Arabidopsis thaliana: one gene and its partner. The protein of the gene in region 1 interacts with the protein of each later gene in a pairwise test. Each region holds a gene or a part of one and is shown in the gene's direction. Other genes may lie near its edges.

What was found.
Region 2: the proteins of AT2G41835 (region 1) and AGL18 interact in a two-hybrid assay, tested with the Arabidopsis thaliana proteins (one large-scale study listed by BioGRID).

The regions. Positions count from the first base shown.
Region 1 is NC_003071.7:17,457,162-17,461,611, reverse strand, and holds AT2G41835 (zinc finger (C2H2 type, AN1-like) family protein), read left to right. Parts: upstream 1-1,920; 5' UTR 1,921-2,197; coding exon 2,198-2,296; intron 2,297-2,851; coding exon 2,852-3,592; 3' UTR 3,593-3,913; downstream 3,914-4,450. Other genes in the region: AT2G41840 (Ribosomal protein S5 family protein), read left to right, coding at 214-909, 1,435-1,596. UniProt on the Arabidopsis thaliana protein: May be involved in environmental stress response.
Region 2 is NC_003074.8:21,231,789-21,236,751, forward strand, and holds AGL18 (AGAMOUS-like 18), read left to right. Parts: upstream 1-1,683; 5' UTR 1,684-2,121; coding exon 2,122-2,303; exon of another isoform or gene 2,304-2,823; coding exon 2,824-2,932; intron 2,933-3,025; coding exon 3,026-3,081; intron 3,082-3,169; coding exon 3,170-3,269; intron 3,270-3,353; coding exon 3,354-3,395; intron 3,396-3,495; coding exon 3,496-3,537; intron 3,538-3,619; coding exon 3,620-3,768; coding exon of another isoform or gene 3,769-3,772; exon of another isoform or gene 3,773-3,856; coding exon 3,857-3,947; 3' UTR 3,948-4,190; downstream 4,191-4,963. UniProt on the Arabidopsis thaliana protein: Probable transcription factor involved in the negative regulation of flowering, probably through the photoperiodic pathway. Prevents premature flowering. Downstream regulator of a subset of the MIKC* MADS-controlled genes required during pollen maturation.

The DNA.
Region 1 (4,450 bases):
GACATTAGAATGTCAGGCCCATTTAAGCCCACTTTCTGTTTAAGTTACCAAAACAAACCCAACAAGGCCTTTAGAAACCCTAAAAATCCTTATTGTAGCAGCTGGAGCAATATATATCCCAATTTGCCGCAACTAGGGTTTTCTCTTCCTCACGCAAAGCAATACATCGCAGTCTCCCACTGATTCAGCAGCTCTTTGAACTACTCTTCGACAATGGCCGAACGTGGTGGAGAACGTGGTGTTGAGCGTGGTGGAGAACGTGGTGATTTCGGACGAGGATTCGGAGGCCGTGGAGGTCGTGGAGATCGTGGAGGGCGTGGACGTGGAGGCCGTGGTGGTCGTCGTGGAGGGCGTGCCAGTGAAGAAGAGAAATGGGTTCCAGTGACCAAGCTTGGTCGTCTCGTGGCGGCTGGTCATATCAAGCAGATAGAGCAGATCTATCTTCATTCACTCCCGGTTAAGGAGTACCAGATCATTGATATGCTCATCGGTCCAACATTGAAGGATGAGGTAATGAAAATCATGCCGGTTCAGAAACAAACCAGGGCTGGTCAAAGGACTAGATTCAAGGCCTTTGTTGTCGTTGGAGATGGTAATGGTCATGTTGGGTTGGGAGTGAAATGCTCTAAGGAAGTTGCTACGGCCATTAGAGGAGCGATTATTCTCGCTAAGCTGTCTGTTGTTCCAGTGAGGAGAGGTTACTGGGGTAACAAGATTGGGAAGCCACATACGGTTCCTTGTAAGGTGACTGGGAAGTGTGGATCTGTGACAGTGAGGATGGTTCCAGCTCCTAGAGGTTCTGGTATTGTGGCTGCTAGAGTTCCTAAGAAGGTTCTTCAATTCGCTGGAATTGATGATGTTTTCACTTCCTCCAGGGGATCCACCAAAACTCTTGGAAACTTCGTCAAGGTTTGTTCTTTTTTACTTTCATGTAGTTACCTATACACGAGATTCGTTTCCTTTTGATTGGTTTCTGGTAGTTTCTTTGAAATCACAATTTGATTATTCGAAATTTGAGCATTTTCTGTCATTTTAGTACAGTAGTAGCTATATAAGTAGTTCCAGGAGTCCATTTGGTTAGGAAAAATTCTGACTTCACACTGTATTTGATGAAATATCTCTGGAAATGTTATTGGTGTATTGATGGAAGAGAAAAAGTGTTTCTCTTTCGTCTAGTGATTCTCTTTAGCTGTAATGAATGATCGCTTTGTAGGAAACCTTTAATGTAGCAAATGAAGAATAGATTCAGTTTGGCATCTCTTGATACTTGACTGTTTTCACTTGCTTATGATGTGTTTGTTTTCTTGCTAATTCACGAGTTTTGTAACTTGAATACAATATACCCTCAGTTTTTTATCCATGTATAGTATTCACTTGTACCTTAGTTTTTTTCACGGATGAATAATTGTTTTCATGATGTTGATTAAATTGCAGGCTACATTCGATTGCCTTCAGAAGACTTACGGATTCCTTACCCCAGAGTTCTGGAAGGAGACAAGATTCTCTAGATCACCATACCAAGAGCACACTGATTTCCTGGCGTCCAAGGCTCTTTCGACCAGCAAACCCGACCCAGTGGTTGAAGACCAAGCCTAAACAATGCTTCCACCTTGTGTTCTTTTTGGATTATAATCCTTCATGAGTTAATTTTGGTTGAACCTTTGGTAGTATATGTTGCTGGATTGTGCACCTTCTGTTTTCATCTCCTCTTCCAAACTACTTTATTTTTGCTTATGGATCTTAATGTTCTAGTTTTGCTTTTACTTTTGTTGAGAAAAGTTAATCCAGTGGTGCCAATTTTAATTTTCATCAATATTCTACCTCTACAAGTTTGGTTTATGATATAGACTTTGTTTGATATAACATGTTCAATAGACGAACCATTACTGTGAAGAACATTCGATGACAGGTTCTGATTCTTGGAAAGTAAAGTTAAAGAATTTCCTGAAAATTTCCGAATGATTCAAAGTATTGACTTTTTTTTAATTGGATTGTTCTAACATAGACAAAAGAGAAAGACTGAGAATATAGAAGAAGAAATCAGTTTGACATTTCCCACATATTTGAAAGCTTTCACGGCTTCTGCGATATTTCAGCTCATCTAAATCTGCAGAATCCTATTTCTTTTTTTCCTTGAGTTTCTCTCTCTCGCCGGATATAAACCCTATTTTTGGTCGGAATTGTTGTTCGAATTCGAATGGGGACTCCGGAATTTCCAGATCTGGGGAAACACTGCTCCGTCGATGTTTGCAAGCAAATCGATTTCTTGCCTTTCACCTGCGACCGTTGCCTACAGGTTCCTTTCTCCTTCTCTCCTTCTCTCCTTCTCTCTGTTTATATTCACATGCAAAGACTCGATTTTTATGTTTTCGCGAATGGTGTTTGACTCTGACTGAATCCTATATCTCTGGGATCAACGATAATCATGCTGTTACTTATTTTCTCGTTGGTTTCGATTTTGTACTTTAGGACTAAGAAGAAGATTGAATTGAAGTCTCGAATATCGAATTTATCACTTGAATCCTTTTGGTTATCGTTAGGTGTTAAGTTAACTGACATTTTGAGCTTAATTATCGGTATTTTGGTAAATTCCAATTTCTTCATTCTTGTCTCAGAAAAATTCTGCTCGTAACTAATGTGATGATTCTTGACTGCTTTCTTGATTCAAGAGAACAATGATTCGTGTCTGCTCTCTTGGTTCGGTTGTCTGTTCTCATGTTTCTGCTAGATCCATTGACTGTTGACGATTTGAATTTTGTTTTTGAGTTAGCGCTCTGGTTTTCTCTGAATCTTTAGTGTCAAAATGTTTCCTTGGTTTGGAGGAAAAGTCTTACATTGGAAATTTTTACAGGTGTTTTGTTTGGATCATCGAAGCTATATGAAACATAGTTGTCCAAAAGGCGATAGAGAAGATGTGACTGTAGTTATCTGCCCACTCTGTGCTAAAGGAGTCCGATTAAACCCAAACGAAGACCCAAATATAACATGGGAGAAACATGTCAATACCGACTGTGACCCATCAAACTACGAAAAAGCTACAAAGAAGAAGAAATGTCCCGTTCCAAGATGCAAGGAGTACCTAACTTTCTCCAACACCATCAAGTGCCGAGATTGCAATGTCGATCACTGCTTGAAACATCGTTTTGGACCTGATCACACTTGCCCTGGACCAAGAAAACTCCCATTCATGGGTTTCTTGAGTAGTAGTACCACCAGAAAAGAAGCTAAGACAACAAGACCCAACAAAGCTCATCCATCAACTTCATCATCTTCTTCTTCTTCGAGATGGTCTAATCTCCTATCTTCAGCAGAAGCAGGAATTAGCAGGCTCGGTAATGACATTAGCCAGAAGCTACAGTTTTCGAGCAGCAAAGATAATGGTATCGTGGAGGTGTGTCCACAGTGCGGTGCGAAATTCTCTTCGGTTACTTCTCTTGTGGAACATGTAGAGAAAACACATGAGAGGAACAAGAAGCAGAATCATGGCAATGTCACGGTCGATGTCTGCCCTAGATGTAGCAGAGGATTCCGCGATCCAGTAGATCTTGTGAACCATATCGAAAGAGATCACCGAGGCACTTCGAAAGCATAGGAACATATGCGTTTACAAGCCACACATCACAACATAACTTGTGAAAGGTACTCAAACATCTTTGTATTTTTCTTTTCATATTTGTACTGGTTTTAAACAACCAAAAAAAATGTCACATTCTTTGAAAAGTCATGGACTCATGTCCAGAAGTGTAGCCAGAAGTGTAGTAGACTAATGTTATCATTATCCTTGGGCCTTGGCCCTTGGGCTTTGGGTGATATGGTTTTTTCAATGAACAATATGAGAAGAAATTCAACGGCGACCAATGTGGTTAAGTCCGTTAAAAAATAAGGGTAAAACCGTAAAAGGTTACAATTGGCGAGTTCGCGGGAAATTTTACCCTCTTTCCGCGGTAAGAAAAAAAAAACAGATTGCTGACCCCACGTGACCGTCATGTGCAGTTAACGACGTTAATGATAAGTGGCAGCTAACTTAACGGTGCAATAAACCTTAAATCTTAACGAATTGAATGTTTCAGTACTTTTTCTCTTAAATTCAAAACGTGGTCATGTCGAAAGAATTCGACTTGATTTCACCACTAGCATCCTAATCTAACATTTAGCCTTTATAAAAACCAGGTTAAATTGACTTAAGTGAAGTGTGTATCAGTTCTATAAGAAAAGAAATCATAGTCAGGGAATTAAAAAATTACATATCTCCAAATAAAACTTTCTTCTTCTAGAGTGTATAATACACAATTACACATCATGCACACACACACCGTGTGAGTAAGTAATTAACTAATTATAGAATAATTTAAGAGATTATTTGCTTTATTAGCAGTGTATGAGCTGGCCAAAATGCAATAACTACCTCAGCAAATTTCAACAAAGCAGGAAAAAAATTAAAATAATACGT
Region 2 (4,963 bases), on another chromosome or scaffold:
TATAGAAATCACTAACCGGAGAATACCAACTAAACTGAGTTTTTTTCACACTTTTTCCACTGAGTTCATACCACATTCAACTGGGTCTAAGGGCCCAAATATTATTTGCTTTATAGGCCCAAAGTCCCAAACATGCTAATCTTTCATGATACCTCCTCCATACGTCTTTTTTACAATTTTGTGTGTTTTACAAAAAAAAATTTTGCTTAGTAATCTATTTGTTAAGATTTTTTCCGTTTCTATTTGATAAGAATATATTCGATATATTTTCAATTTATACTGTATAGAGTAGCTTGTTATAATTATCATCAAATTTCATTGTTTTTTTCATAAACAAATATGATTAAAATTGATCTAGAAGTCTGCACGAAGAAAAGTAAAATGGAAACAAATTGCAGATTTGCATGTAATTACGACAAGTGGCTCATTCTCTTTTTTAGCATGTTACAGAAGTGTCTGGTTAATGGGAAAAAAAAATATTGAACTTTCTTTTATTTTGTATATAAACCAACCTTATGTGAGTAATATCCCAAAGAGGTTTCTTTTAAAATATCTTTGGGTTTTTAATTCATTTATGGGAATTTCTATAACAAAATTTCACCACAAATAAATGTTGTTCCTTTCGTAGAAGAAAACAAAATCTTAAGAAATCACGTTATTTTCGTATTTGATGGTAGTTTATAAATTTCGAAAGATGATTCAACGCGATTCATACGAGATATTATTTTTTTGACAACAACAAAAGATAGTAAAGTGTTAAAAAAAAATGTGTAAAGTTTTATGGAGTATAATTTAAAGATTTATCTTGAATTGAGAATGTGTAAATCACATTGGTTAAAGTGGAACTAAATATTTTTTTAGTAAATTATTTGTTTTTCTCTAGCTTAGTTTTAATTTCAATTTTGGAAAAGGGAGAATATTGACCAAAAACAAAAAGAGCACGATTAAATGACCTAACACTACATTTAGAAACACGCATCTGAATTATTTACATTGCAAAACAAAAGTGTTGAGCTGTATAGCATGTATTTATATTTACTTAAATACTTTCCATATCTATAAAAAGATATTTGCTCACCAAAATTTCACAACCGAACTAATTTTATTTATTATTACTAATGTTTAGATAATTCCACAAATACAGTGTAATTCTCAAAATATAATTTCGGTTACAATAGAAAGTCTTCTCTAGAAAGAGATATTTTTCTTTTACTAAAAATACAACAAACTCAGTTTGGAGGGGAAAGTAATCTTCCTTGTGAGATTTTACTATCTATAGAAACGTTAAAGCCACACCTTTTGCTTTTCTTATCATATTCTTCTTCAAATACGGCCACGTTTGGCCATTCTACTAGATCTCAACCCAAAAAAAAGAAACAAAATCTCAACCAACAAGAAAACAAAGCTAAAGAGAAAAAAAAGAACACAGTAGTTGTTATTTCATAAATCTTTTAAAGATATGAAAATATCAGTTATTAAATAAAACAGTATCCAAAACAACTAAAAATAAAGACTATAATAAAATGAAATAGTTGATCAAATATTTCCTTATTATAGGGATCAACTTTATTTGACTATATAAAAAGTAACATTTCTGTAAAGCAATAAAACAATAAAATTATGGAAGATTAAGTTTTAGAAACGTAATAAAAAGCATGATGACCTAAAAGCAAAGCCAAAAAAGAAAAACCCTAGAAGATAAAAAAAAAGGGAGGCGATACACGAAATAGAGAAGAGATCCAAAACCAAAACAAGGGCGTTATAAATGGGAAGAAAGTTCCAAAAGAAGAAAACAGCCACTCACACCAAGCAAAGCAAATTAGCAAAGCCACCAAATATGGAAAATTGCTACTTATAGTAACTCCCATCTTTTTATATAATACCCTAATTTTGGTCCTAATTTTCCTTCCTTAGCCCCTTTCCCAATATTTGATCAATTTCTAAAGAAAACCCCTTCCTCTACTAGTCCTCCTCCTATATATACAAAATCTTAAGAAATCTCTCTACTTGTTTCCTCTGTTATCATAATCTCTTCTCTCTATATCTCTTCTCTTCTTCTTTTACCCTGTTTTTTTTTTCATTCCACAGAGCCCAGGTTGATTGATTTTGTTATTCAGAGATATGGGGAGAGGAAGGATTGAGATTAAGAAGATTGAGAATATCAACAGTCGTCAAGTCACTTTCTCTAAGAGACGAAACGGTTTGATCAAGAAGGCTAAAGAGCTTTCGATTCTCTGTGACGCCGAGGTTGCTCTTATCATCTTCTCCAGCACCGGCAAGATTTACGATTTCTCCAGCGTCTGGTATATTAGTTATCATCTCATGATTTTGCTTCTTTTTTTTTGCTTTGGGGAAATAAAAAGTTTTGCATTTTTATGGGTTTTTGTGTCTAAAGTAAATGAAAACAGAGCAACCCCTGTTTATCTATATCCTAATCTGGCTAAATCTTTAGGTTGATGATGAAATAATTTTGATGGGTTATGATTTTAAGGTTTGGAGAATTGAGATTACGATTTTTGCTATCGGATTAGTTTGTGTGTTTTATAAACCCTAACTGTTGATGAAACTACAATTTGGTCACTATCTTTGGTATCAGAATTTGGGAGATGCATTTGTCTATGTATATATCAGTTGTTAGAATCTCAACTCCAGAATTCTGAAAGATCGTTAATTTCTAAGATTATTAGACCATAGAAGTGTTTATCTTATCTTTATGAAGAAATTTGAGAATGCAGAAGTTTAGATTCATGATTTTTTCCTGTAATGATCAATCAAACCAATTACGGGGTTTTACTAACGGAGAGTTTTGTTCAATTTGTGAAGTATGGAGCAAATTCTTTCTAGATATGGATACACTACTGCGTCCACTGAGCATAAACAACAAAGAGAACACCAACTTCTAATTTGTGCTTCACATGGAAATGAAGCTGTGGTAAGCAGAGACTCTCTACCAAGAATTTATTTTTGTATCCCTTTGTCTGTGTTCAAGTTTTTGGTTTACCTTACATGGTATTCGTTGTTGTAGTTGCGAAATGATGATTCTATGAAGGGGGAACTTGAAAGATTACAGCTTGCAATTGAGTATGTATCTCACTGGAAAAAGAACTTGCGTTTGTTCTTGGTTAAAGTTTCGGCCTTTCATCGGTTTTTTCTACTTGTTCGTGAACAGGAGACTTAAGGGTAAGGAGCTTGAAGGTATGAGTTTCCCGGATCTTATTTCTCTTGAAAACCAGTTGAACGAGAGCTTGCATAGTGTCAAGGATCAAAAGGTGAAGACAAAATACTAATTTATTCAAACATCGAGAGATGATTTTTGATTCATCCCTGTCTTGAAAAGTTTTGTTTTGATTCAGACACAAATCCTGCTCAACCAGATTGAGAGATCCAGGATACAGGTACGAACAGAGCTCCTCAAATGTCAGAATCATTGTTATTATCAATTCGTATACAATGTTGAATCTCAACACTCTTGTTTTGTTTCCTTGTCATTAATAGGAGAAAAAAGCATTGGAAGAAAACCAAATCTTGCGCAAACAGGTAAAGATTCATCAAAACCCTTATATTAGCTCGGTCTGGTCTTCACCAGTCATAACTGAGTTCAATTCTAATTTGCCCTCAGGTTGAGATGTTGGGGAGAGGTTCAGGACCAAAAGTGTTGAATGAAAGGCCTCAAGATTCTAGCCCAGAAGCCGATCCCGAGAGCTCTTCATCAGAAGAGGATGAGAATGACAACGAGGAGCACCATTCCGACACTTCCTTGCAGTTGGGGTAAACTGCAAAACAAAGCCCTAACTTCTGTTACAAGCTTTTATTGTTACTGAGCATTCTACAAACTTGTTGGTTTGATCTTTCTTAGGTTGTCGTCGACGGGGTATTGCACAAAGAGAAAGAAGCCGAAGATCGAACTGGTCTGCGATAACTCTGGGAGTCAAGTGGCTTCTGATTGATGGAATCGATTATTTTTCTAATTCTGGTTGTTTAGGGGTCTCTATGTGTCTTCTTGTTTCTGGCTGTTCTTTTGCTTTATTTCATCTCAAGTAGAGTTTTCTTAATGTTTAGGTGGAACATTTTTCCATAATCAAGAAGGGATTTGATCAATCAATAACATTAGATTTTCTTAGTTAAAGACTTAAAGTTGCCCACACACCACACCATATGTGATTATGATGAATTTACATTTTATAAACAGGTTTTCAGTGATTTCAAGAAACATAAGCGTGCATTCATTTTTTTTTTGCTTTAACTAGAACCCAAATCTTCAATAGTTTTCATGAATCGACTTTGAAAATACATAAATCCACAACATTAATATGATTAAGCATTCTTGAAATCCTAAGTTAGGTGAACAGAGAGTTAAGAGTAAATGCTCCTAGACATGGTTTAGTCGATTGCAGATAATTCGGGTCAGCAAAGAAATGTGATCACTAAGCAAATCTGGGTTGCGTAAACTCGTTGACAATAAACGGAAGCGTCTTACCCCTTTTTTCCGGCCCACTTCTTTACTTGGGCCAAATAATTTTATTTTGGGCTTTTTTTAAAAGGATGATCTTAATTGTGTGTGGGCATTTAAGGGCACCGACAATTCAAAGGTAGCCGACGGCTTACAGAAATATGGCTGCTCAGATCATCAGAGACCCCATACAATAAATATTTATGTTTCGAGAAATAAATCACCAGATGGTTGACAAGTTGCGGCAGTAAGTACATGTTACTTTTCTTGTCAGAAAGTACAACAACAGTACTTTTTTTATAGTCGACACTAAAATTAAGACTCGTATTTAGTAATGCAGAAAAATCTTTACAAAAATATACTATATACTCCTGAGAAAAAGCAGCTGATTTGACTGAAATAAAGAAAATGTTAGTAGTCTAGTAATGATTTGTGAACTACAAACGTTGTTTAAGGCGTTTACAGTAATATTAACATTACGGAATACAAAAGGGTGATGACTAGTCGACAAAT